Mus musculus: one gene and its partners. The protein of the gene in region 1 interacts with the protein of each later gene in a pairwise test. Links are inferred from orthologs where the notes say so. Each region holds a gene or a part of one and is shown on either strand. Other genes may lie near its edges.

Region 1 (3,646 bases):
GTAGCTGTCTTCAGACACACCAGAAGAGGTTGTGAGCCACCATGTGGTTGCTGGGATTTGAACTCAGGACTTCTGGAAGAGCAGTCAGTGCTCTTAACCACTGAGCCATCTCTCCAGCCCCTCCCCCCCCCCCCTTTTCCTTCTTTTTGAGATAGGGTTTTACCATACAGGGTTTCCCTAGGCTAGCCTTGAGTTCAGCTGTGTAATAACCCTGTAGCCCAGGCAGGCCCTGAACTTTCAGTCCAGTCCCACCTCTTCACCCCCAACCCTCAGCTTTCCAAGTAGCTAGAATTACAGCCTTGCACCACCATGTCCACCTTTCTTTGGACTACTTTGAGTGTGTTGACTTGGTGGTGATATATATATATATATATATGTGCATGCAATCAGTTGTTTATTCTCTTTTGAAACATTGTTGACTCACAAAACTCAAAATGAAAGAAGAGGGTATGTTTGTAGCTGTTGTGTTAAGATGTCCATCTGGGGCTAAGGAGATCAGAAGGAGGGTGCTCATCTCCTGTGTGAGGCCATGAGCACCTGCACCAGCACATATACATGCTACATGTACATGTGCCTGTACTCATGCTTGGTCTCACACACAAACACACAAAGCCCCTCTTAGTTTTCCAGTTTGTATAAGTAGAAAGTATGCTGGCTGCCAGAGAAGGCTGCTCCAGGCTGGCTGGAAGCGTTGCATCTTCCCACCTCCTGACAGGAAGGAAGCTCTGGCCTTTGACATGGCAGGCCTTAGGGTGAGGGGTGGAAGGATAGCTGTGGGCTCTTGGGAGACAGATCACAGAGGAGTACAGCTTGCTGCGTGAGCGTGTGGCAGTGGCTGTGCTCACTGTCCTCAGTTTCTTCTTTCCCCCTTTGTTCCTTCTTTGGTTTGTGTTTGTGTATATGTGCGCGTGTTTGTTTGAACCAGAATGGCCTTGAGCTTGCGATCCTCCTGCTTCCGCCTCTGCAGTGCTGGAATTGCAGGCCTGTGCAATCACACCGGGCGGGGGGCGGGGGGGGGGGGCGGTCAGACCCAGGCCCACCAGCATGCTTGCAGACACTCTGCCAGCAGAGCTACATTCCCGGTCCTACTCTTCTTTCCTTCTCAGTCTGAAAATGCAGCTGGAGTGAGGAAGAGCGGACCACTGCCTAGCGCCGAGGTACAGTGTCACGGCTGCTGTGTCACCTATGGGAGGGGTGGAGATCACAGCCCCTGACAGGTCAGTGCTGTCCCACTGGCCAAGAGCTCCTGGCTTGCTTATTAGTTTTACATGTGGTCTGCTGGTTTCTCTTTGATGCAGAGATTGGAGAATGATCTCTTTGGACCCCATGACTGTTCCCACGCCCCTCCAGATAACTACCAGAACACCTCAACTGATGGTAAGATGGAAACCCTCTGGACTCCCAGACAGATGGAGCCAGTTTGCTGGACGAAGCCCACAGGTCTTATTTACCTCTGTGTCTCTAGGGACCCTGCCACTTCAGAAGCAGCCAAGCCTATTCACTGAGGGCAAAGAAGAGACCTCTGTGGATGCCGGATGCCTCCTTGCCACAGCCGTCATCACTCTGTTCAGTGTGAGTAACAAGGAAGTCCCCACGGTGGTTCAGGCTTCCTCATGCCATGTGGTCTTATCACACGGGCTGTCTGCCTGGAGTTTGCATGCACGTTTGAGAACAGTGCCAAAGGTAAAGCTAGAGAGGTGTGGAGCTTTCTACAGGGCAGGGGGGTCTCATGAGCACTGTTGGTGAAGAAACCTTAGAGTATGGGCAGAAGCGGTGGCTCAGAGGCTGAGAACACTGGCTGTTCTTACAGGGGATCTGGATTCAATTCCAGGTACCCACGTGATGGCTTACAGCTGTCTATAGTTCCAGTTCACATGTATATACCCAGACAAAGTACTCATACACATAACATATCTATCTCTTTCTAAGAAAAGAAAAGCTGGACGGTGATGGCGCACGCCTTTAGTCCTAGCACTTGGGAGGAAGAGGCAGGTGGGTCTCTGAGTTCAAGGACAGCCTGGTCTACAGACTGAGTTTTAGGACAGCCAGGGCTACACAGAGAAACCCTGAAGAGAGAGACAAACAGACTGACTGACCAACTGACCTTAGAGGGAAAAGTGCCTGAGGAGAAAGACACTGGGTTGACATGACAGACAAGAGTAGATCCAGCCATGGCAGAGGACCAGATCAGCTGCTTGGCCAGCAAGGCTCTGCAGAGCATTCCTCTGAGTTTGTGGACAACTTCCTGAACTCCTGTCATCATCTGGACACGCTTTTAGGAAAACACGTTGCACACTATAACTCACTAGAAGAAATGTCATCAGCCAGGGTAGGCTCTAGGGAGTAGCAGGTCCCTGCTCCCTGACCCTGGGAGAGGGTATCCATTCTGGAGACCCTGGGTGCCTTGCTCGGACTGAGTTGTGTTCCTAGGACCTGGCTGTGATGTAGCTTGCTTGCTTCTGCCTGTATTGGCACCTCTAGGTTCCCTGCAAAGGGAAGGCCTAAAGGCCTGGAGATATGGCTCTGTGGATAAAGTACTTGCCATGCAAATGTGAGGGCTACAGCTTGGATTCCAGAAAACACTAAAAAGCCTGACATTATAACACATCTCTGTGATCCCATTGTACCTATGGTAAGATGGGAGAGGTCTCCTGGTCCAACTAGCCTGGCTTACATGGTGATGAGCATACATCAAAGGTTGTCCTTTGACCTCTATGTACACACACATGCACACATACACATTTTTAAAAGTCCTGATTGAGGCAAGCATGGTAGTGCATGCCCACCACTCGAGAGGTGGGGACAGGCAGGTCTCTTGAGTTTGAGGCCAGTGAGTTACACTCTACACAGTAACAGAACAAACAGGGTTACACAGACAAAGCCTGTCACAGTAAAAGTATATTCGACAGGGTTTAGGGTGGTGGTTGGTCTTGGCTGGCAGAGCTGTCATGGGCACGCAGCAGCTTGGTCTGCTCCGTAGAACTTCCTTTTTCTTCTTAGTCAGGACCTCATCCTGCTGCCCAGTCTAACCTCAGACTTCTGTCTCTCAGGTGCTGCTCTTGCAGGACTTTGTTAATTCCCAGGACCCTGGTGGCAGCTCACAGTGATGTATGGCTCCAGTTCCAGGGGGTCTAGCACCTCTTGACCTCCATAGGCAGGCACCGGCTACACATGTGCGCATACATACAAACAAACAAACAGAACACTCATGCACATAAAATTTCTTTTAAAAATCAACCAGCAGTGGTGATGCCCGCCTTTAATCCCAGCACTTGGGAAGCAGAGACAAGTGGATCTCTTAAGTTTGAGGCCAGCCTGGTCTACAGAGTGAATTCTAGGACAGCTAAAGCTACACAGAGATACACTACTCTGGAAAAAAACCAAAACAAACAAATGGTTTGGATTTCTCCTGCCTTGTCTTTCCAGTGCATGGATTATAAATAAGGGTGTGCCCCATTCCACGCTAGTCTTCCTGAACTTGAGGCTGCACTGACGTCTGACTTCTAAGTTTAGTCTGAAGAAGGCTGTACTGTCTCTGCTGTGTTAGAAGCAAACATAACTTCAAGGGACAGGTCGATGTTATGAATCCAGTTGGAAGCAATGTTTGATGGCATGTTTTTACTGGTTCCTTGTCAAGATCTATAAT
Region 2 (3,746 bases), on another chromosome or scaffold:
AAATGTGTTTCTGTAACCACTTAACACATTATGTCTTTATTTACTCCACTGAGAAAACCTGCAGGGCGTTTAATATCCGGAATGCTTTATGAATCTCGACTTTACCACTTCTCCAGCGGGTTGCTTATTACATGCCAGTGATGTGTCCTTCCGTATACTTACGAGGTACGGCACCACAACTTGTGGAAGTCCATTCTGCCCTTCCATCACGGGGGTCCCGGGGATCAAACTCATGTCCTCCTCGGGCTTGGCAGCAAGTGTTTTCACCCATTAAACCACCCCTGGCCCCTTCACAAGTTGTCGCCTTGCGTACAGCTCTTGCTAGTTCCTGCCATTCTTCCCATTCCAGAAGGAAATCCTTCAGGCTCCAAGATGCACAGCGAACAGGTGTATGCATATTCATCAGTCTTCCACGGTTTGTGTGCAGCCCTACAGCTATCACGCAGCCTGGGTTTGTGACCACCTCCTTCACTCTGGGACAGAGCATAGCGACACCAGCGGCTCAGGGCTACTGAGAGTTCTAGAAAACACGCTTCATAGAAAGCCACCATTCGTATTTTTAAAACTTTTAAACTCTGGCAGCAACCTCAGCGGCCTCAGCTAGGACCTCAGCAAGGAACTTCCAGACCGGGTCGTTAGGGAGTCCTCGGGTGTCGTGGAGGCCCCGCCTACAGCTCCAGCGTCCTCCCCTTAATCCGCCTTTCCTGAGTTTAGCCCTGGGACCCTGAATCGCAGTCGCCCCGCGGTGGCCCGAGCTCTTACCACAGCTCTTTGCGGAGAGACGCGCTCCGGGAGCTGGAGAAGCCAGAAGCAGCTCCGAGCACTAGGGCGGGGCAGCGCGATGGGTGTGCCTAATCGGGGGCGTGGCAACGGCGCGGGGGCGGAGCTAAAGCTCTGCCACGCCTGTAAGCGACGTGGCCCGGGCGGGTCTAGAGCGTCGTCTTATCTAGCTCCGCTCTTGACCGTGCGCAAGCGCAGTGCGGCGGGAAAGCCTCTGCAAGTGCGTCCAACATGGCGTCGGAGCGCAAGACTAAGTTATCCAAGAACCTGCTGCGCATGAAGGTGCTGAGGTCGGGAATGCTGGGTTGTCGGGCGGGGAGGCTGCTGAGCTCCGAGATGTTCCGTAGTGGGACTCGGGCCGAAGCGATGGGCAGACTGGCTCGGGATGGCCGCGGCCAGCGCACCCCATTCATTCGCTCAGCCTGCGGGCCTTTGGGCACCAGGGGTGAGATTTTGCTTAGCCTGATGTGGGGAGGGAGCCTGCACAACGTTCATCAGAGCCTGCAGAGTTGAGTGCTGTGGTGGCTTTAGTGTCTGGGCCGCCTGGGAAGTTAGACTTCTCGCGAGAAGTGGTCCCTAAGGAGGAACAACGTGAGGGATGGCAGGTAGTGTCCTAAACTGAGGGAAAGTGAGTCCAGAAGCTAAGAAGGAGAAAATCAGGGACGTTGCAAAGAACTAAAGGTAGCTCGGACGTCTGAAAGACAAGGAGCATAAAATGAGGCTGGAAATCTTAGTGGTCACACATCCAAGGAATTGTAAGCCAGGCTGAAGTTTTGTTCCTGTTGCCTCATGAGCAGGAGGAAACTGTTTTCTGAGTTAATTGCTTTTTGTTTGTTTGTTTGTTTGTTGGGGGGGGGGGGGGTCGAGACAGGGTTTCTCTGTGTAGCCCTGGCTGTCCTGGAACTCACTCTGTAGACCAGGCTGGCCTCGAACTCAGAAATTTGCCTGCCTCTGCCTCTCCCAAGTGCTGGGATTAAAGGCGTGCGCCACCACGCCTGGCTAGTTATTGTTTTTTTAAGGCCACTTTAACTGAACTGTGGATGATGGTTAATCAGAAAGGCCCAGCCCAACAACGTGAAAGCTCACAGCCAAAAGGATGAGCTAAAAAAGTTCCTGTGTTCTGGGTGAAGGTTGTCTTCGTGGTGGGAATGGAGAAAATGTTAGTGGGGTGAAATGAGTTCTCCACTAACTTTTAAACAAAATGAGTTTCCCTTTGTGTGTGTGCATGCATAGCTGTATATATACCATGTGTGTTCAGGTGCCTGCGAAGGCCAGAAGAGAGTGTTGGAGCCCCTGAAACTGGAGTTTTAAGTCAGCAGGTATGAGTACCAGGACTTAGGCAAGAGTCAAGGGTGCTCTTAGCCACTGAGCCAACTTCCCCAGCCCATGATTTTTAAATTTGAAGTTGAGCCAGCTGAAGTGGCTTTGATGGCACACATTTGTAATCCCAGCACTTGGGAGGTGGAGGCAGGAGCTTAATTTGTGGCCAGCCTGAGCTGGATATGAGACCCTGTCTCAGACATCATTAAAACAGAAGCAGCTTAACCACAATTTAAAAGGGGTTAAAAGCGGATGAACACAGGAGTTAAGACAGGGAAAAGCTAACTCTTGAAGCTTAAATAATACTAATAGAACGTATTCACGGTCCTCCCAATATTCCGGCATTGTTCTCCGTGTATATACTGAACCACTTAATTCACATAGTAACATTTGAAGGAGTTACAGTTGTCATCTCTGACACCTGAGGTATCTGAGACAGAAGTAACAGCTGAAAAGACTGGTCATCTGGCCCCAGAGCTTCTGCTTGTAATGATTAGCCTGTAGCACCTGTCTCTAACACACGGGGAGCTTGATTACAACGCCTGACTCAACAGTATTATAAACATGTGTTTAACAGAGCTGTCCTACCTACCAAGCGGTATAGTTTAGCTACACAGTACACTATAGAGTTTCAGTAGCTTACCCCAGGATGGTGTAGCTGTCTGGGAGCTGTGGCCCACTGTGCCCCAGCAGCCTAATAGAGTCTCCTCTTACATATGGCTAGCCCAGGAAACAGCATTCCTAGTAGTGTTTCTAATGGGTGGTAGCAGATCCCCACCATCTTAAAGGTGATTTGATTCATTAAGCCTCACCATGTGAAGTTGTGGTCTGTCAGTGCTTATGGTGAAATGAAAACTCTCTTAGAGAACGTGTTTCCAAGAAAAGGAAGGAAGGCATAAACGGGTGCTGTGTCGAGGGCCGGGGAGTGAGCATTCCCCCATGAGCTTTGAGTGCAAGCTGAGCTGGGATGCTATCTGGCCTAGGTATTTGTAAATATATTTGAGTCTCAGAGTTGTTATTTATGGGAGCTTGGGGCCCAGAGGAAAAACCCAAGTTTATAGAAAACATCATACAGCAATGCTTCATTAATCCCAGCACTGAAGAGGCCTGTGAGGCAGGTGGATCTCTTGCGTTCAAGGCCAACCTGGTCTACATCCTGAGTTCCAGGACAGACAGGGCTACACAGTGAAATCCTATCTGGGAAACCTTAAGAAATAAACAAGCAAACAAACAAAAAACCCTAGACAGTTACTGATGGAGCTGGAGAGCTATAGTTTCCCAGAGTCTGCTCTGAACCCTCAGTTTTGAGGGAGGTGAAATTGCTAGTTTTAGAGTGTGTTCTGAGGTCTTCCGAACCCTAGACATGCTTGGTTCACAGCCATGTTCTTATCCTCTGTCCAGTGTAGATGTGGGTGACTGACTGACTGTGTGCCTTCATGTATCCGCTAAGGCGAAATTGAAGATAGGAGGCAGTTAGTCAGGTTTTGCCACCAAGAATGTAAGGGGCCGTGTGAGGCACCTGTACTTTGAACCACAGGGTCACTAATCCAAGGGTCACTGGTACTCAGGGAGTCGTTTGTCTGCCGGGTGCCCTGGTACCTATGGCTGGCCACCCATGAGCCAGGGCACTGACACGGGCTTGCTCC
Region 3 (3,746 bases), on another chromosome or scaffold:
TATTCTATTTTTGAACATTGGGAATTGCTATCCACCTCAATTACCTCACTGCCAGAGGTATCTCTCAACTTACTTATAATTCATTAAAATTATGAGCATTTAACTCACCGACATATCCTCTATCGGGGGCATCTACTGGTGGTGCTGCAAATTCCTACAAAAGCAAACAATGTATTCCAGTGAGAAAAGCCACGCAACACGATGACATTCTAGTCATCCACAGAGGCCGTGCCAGAGACCATTTCAGCCAATTAACCCATGTTAAGGATGCTGGCACTGCCTTCCTAGTGACTCCCAGGGAGGTTAAAGGGCAGTGTAATCAAACTGTGCTGCTCATCCATGAGGACCAGTGGGATTATGCCCACCCTATGACTTGTTCAGCAGCCAAATCTGAATTTAATCCCCAAGCGACACTGACATGACCAGGCTGGGGAGCCAGTAGTGGCTAGAAGCGAGGTATATAGCAATAAGAGCCCAGTGCAGCTATAGATCCACACAAGAGACTGCAAGAGCTGGGGAAAGTTACTTATCTCTCAAGTTCCTCTGCTGACACAGGGACAGATAAACAGTACCTGCCTACTCCTGAGGGCCCAAGTGAGACAGTGCCACTAAGTCCCAGGTATAATCCTGGCAAGCAGTATGTGGTCTGACAGTTATTACTTCAGCTTGACCACAGACCTAAACGAGGAAAGCTGCTCAGTGAAACGTGAGAAAGCACAGGTTCTGTCAGTAGACTCTGCCTACCTTCTACTTACAGAGATTGGTAACAGTAGAGCATCTAAAAAGCTCAGCAGACAGTTACTATTCCTACGACGAACAAAAGCTATCGATGGCTAAAGGTGTCACTGTAACAGTCGATTTCAAAACCGATATTGCTGAAACCCTAACGTGTGACGTGCTGAGGACTCACCTTGTAAAGCGTTAATGATGCTCACATGTAAAAAACAAAAAAACAAAAACCAACCTTGGGGAATATCATTCCAAATACCAGCCCCTGATCAAGTACAACCTCATAAGCATGCAGTTAACTTGGAATTCAGACATTACAGGCATACAGGAAACCTACTGCTTTAACGCCACAAATGACCGTGGTATTCCCCAGCTTCACGAGAGCAGAGCCATCCGCTGTACTGATTGAACCTGGAAAGGTAAACTTGGTATTCATAAAAAATTTTAAAAAGAAAAAAAAAAAGAAAATAACCACAAAGTTTCCTACAAAGTAGTTTAAATCTTTTTGTTTGCCTCTGAAACTCCCCCCACCCCCACCCACCCACCCCCTGAAACTTTTGACCGGTTCAGGTCAGTGACTTGAAAATGATATTACTACTTAACGTTTTTTCATCTTTTTCTTCGGTCTCCCAATTTGAACTAAAGTTTAGATCAACTACAAGGTTGGTGTGATGATAAAAATCTCTTAACATCACCCGATTGCGTTAGACATAGTAGAGCTGGCTGAAAAACTACGTGACACCAAGGATGTCCCACCCAACTAAAAGGAAGTTTATCTTCACCTATGTTGACAGTTGTGGCTCTGAATTCACCAAGTTCTCTTCCATCAGGACGGCAGTTTTCCTTCTAAATGTTTATAAGGAAACGGGTCATAGATGTATTTCGGGTACGCAGCATTAAGCCTCATTCATTTAAATGAACCGAAGCTTGGTGTTTTTACCCACAGCTCTAACGTACAAAACCACCTTCACTCACCAGAAATCTCCTGTAATACTCCAGCGGCTCCACAGTTCTGAAACAATGTTTAAAACGTGTCTCAGTCAGTGCGTCCTAAAGCAGAAACCCAGAACTTGAGAGTGTGGTGTCTGAGGCGTGATCTCGACAGGCTCAGGCGTTTGAAACTGTGTGGCCCGTATTTATAAAAGCCACACAGCAGCAACCGGTTTCCAGCGGTGACCTTAACTGTGCCATAGTCAGGAGGAACAGAGGCCCTTGGCACACCCAGAAGAGGGTCAACCTGGGTGTCAGTCACATCACTCGTGCTCTGAAGCAGGGACCTTAGCGTGACTTCGCGCCGTTATAAACCACACTCGCCAGCATCCACAACTTTACCACGGAAGAGTGTATTGTACATACGTTTGGCCTCCTCGCCGACCCGCGGCCACAAGTGACTGCAGGTAGGTACGGTGCACGCACCGCAGACGCGAGTTTGCAGGCTGCACGCGTGGGCGGCTCCGGGTTTAACCAGAGCGCGCCCAACGCTTTCCCAGTCCCTTCCGAGGGCGGCCCTGCGTGGAGAGCGGCGTGGCCCTCGGCTAAGAGGTCCGGGCCGTCCTGGATGCAGTGTCCCTCAGCGCCTCGAGTGGGCAGAGCCCTCCCGCGGCCCCGCGAGTCCTCGGGGGGGCCCCCACCCGCCGCCGCGCGCCACACCCGCACCCGGGCCCTCTTTGCGCGCGCCGCCACTCACTTGAACCCAGCCGCCATTTTTCCGGCCCGCTCTGCGCCTGCGCAGCCCTCCGCGCCTGCGCCCTCCGGTCGCCAGGCGTGCCTCCAGCCCAGGGCACTCGGAGGGATCCTGGGTTAGGGAAGTGCAGCTACCGTGTTCCTGCGCCCGAGGCATTAACGCCAGCTCCGGCCACCCCGAGCGTCCCGCTAGTCGCCAATCTCGCGGGGTCCCACGGGCCCGCGCGCTTGTGCACGAACACACTCCCACACACACGCAGGCGCACGAGATGAAAAGGGGGTGACCCTAAAACCCTCCACGGCGCCGGGCATCCTTAGATGGCTGCTCTGCACGGCGCGAGGGGTGAAGCCAGTGCACAGGTCCAGGGCTTTGACTTGCCGCACTCGGTGACCGGCCTGCAGTCCTCGGCGGAGCCGCGCGGGGGCGCTGCGGGGAGGCCTCGGCTTTCCTGCCGTGGCGGGGCACGGCCAGGCGGGGGCGCTGCGGGCGGCGGGCGAGGGCTAGGCCGGCCTCTCCTGCGGGGCCGGCTGGGGCGGGGCGCGGCGCCGCACCGCGCTTCCGCAAGTGTGGAGCTGCGGGATGGCTACGCTGCTACTGCAGCTGCTGGGGCTCGGCGTGGCGCTGGCGGCTGCCGCGCTCATTCTGGTGAGACCGTGGTGGAGTCCGGTGCTCCGGGTGTCCCTTCCGCGCTTCCCTCGCGTGCTTGGCTCCCTTGGCCTCAGATTCCCTGAAATCCTTTGAACCTTTGTTCCCCTTTGGAACCCTATTTGAGTGCCCAGAGCCTCCGCCCAGCTTTTCGGGGCTCCTGCTTCTGAACCCCCGCCTGTCACCCCTCCACGCCACTCCCCAGTCTTCTTCCTGGGGCTCCCATATGCACTGCAGCTGGAAAGAGCGGCCGATCCATAAGGCTAGGGACGATGGGTCAGCAAAAGATAGGCCCAGACGGCGTTCTATTCATTTTGGCCAGGGGTCTTTTTGTTTTGTTTTGGGTTTTTTTGCTTGAGAATCAGGCACCTTAGCGTTTTCTTTGCCATTCCTGTAGAAACGTGGCAGACCCCTTCTGATTATGTAGAAGAGGACATATTTGCCAACTAAACTCTGCCACATAGTTTGAAAAGGAGCCTGTAACTCATTCAGAAAGCAGATTCTGAAAAGCTTGCCTGTATTGAGACAGGTGGCCAGAAAGGCCTCTGCCACCTAGCCAATGTACATGTGCACATGCACAGTCTTGGAGTGGTGTAGCCAGATGACTGTCGCTGTGTGTCCGGTGAAGCCAGGCGCCCTCTCTCACTAAAATGCCTTCTTTAAAGGCTTGGAACAAATCTGAACTTTG

The links.
Region 2: the proteins of Exosc10 (region 1) and Mphosph6 interact in binary tests that used the Homo sapiens proteins (3 or more experiments, as listed by UniProt). The link is inferred for Mus musculus from reciprocal best matches to the Homo sapiens genes EXOSC10 and MPHOSPH6.
Region 3: the proteins of Exosc10 (region 1) and Exosc8 interact in binary tests that used the Homo sapiens proteins (3 or more experiments, as listed by UniProt). The link is inferred for Mus musculus from reciprocal best matches to the Homo sapiens genes EXOSC10 and EXOSC8.

Annotation. Positions count from the first base shown.
Region 1 is NC_000070.6:148,571,813-148,575,458, forward strand, and holds part of Exosc10 (exosome component 10), read left to right. Parts: intron 1-1,106; coding exon 1,107-1,157; exon of another isoform or gene 1,158-1,217; intron 1,218-1,298; coding exon 1,299-1,377; intron 1,378-1,465; coding exon 1,466-1,572; intron 1,573-3,646. UniProt on the Homo sapiens protein: Catalytic component of the RNA exosome complex which has 3'->5' exoribonuclease activity and participates in a multitude of cellular RNA processing and degradation events.
Region 2 is NC_000074.6:117,799,168-117,802,913, reverse strand, and holds the start of Mphosph6 (M-phase phosphoprotein 6), read left to right. Parts: upstream 1-939; 5' UTR 940-1,011; coding exon 1,012-1,062; exon of another isoform or gene 1,063-1,070; intron 1,071-3,746. UniProt on the Homo sapiens protein: RNA-binding protein that associates with the RNA exosome complex. Involved in the 3'-processing of the 7S pre-RNA to the mature 5.8S rRNA and play a role in recruiting the RNA exosome complex to pre-rRNA; this function may include C1D.
Region 3 is NC_000069.6:54,732,592-54,736,337, forward strand, and holds the start of Exosc8 (exosome complex component RRP43), read right to left. Parts: upstream 2,774-3,746; 5' UTR 2,434-2,773; coding exon 2,417-2,433; intron 1,742-2,416; coding exon 1,705-1,741; intron 1,576-1,704; coding exon 1,512-1,575; intron 1,141-1,511; coding exon 1,067-1,140; intron 155-1,066; coding exon 109-154; intron 1-108. Other genes in the region: Alg5 (dolichyl-phosphate beta-glucosyltransferase), read left to right, coding at 2,993-3,058. UniProt on the Homo sapiens protein: Non-catalytic component of the RNA exosome complex which has 3'->5' exoribonuclease activity and participates in a multitude of cellular RNA processing and degradation events.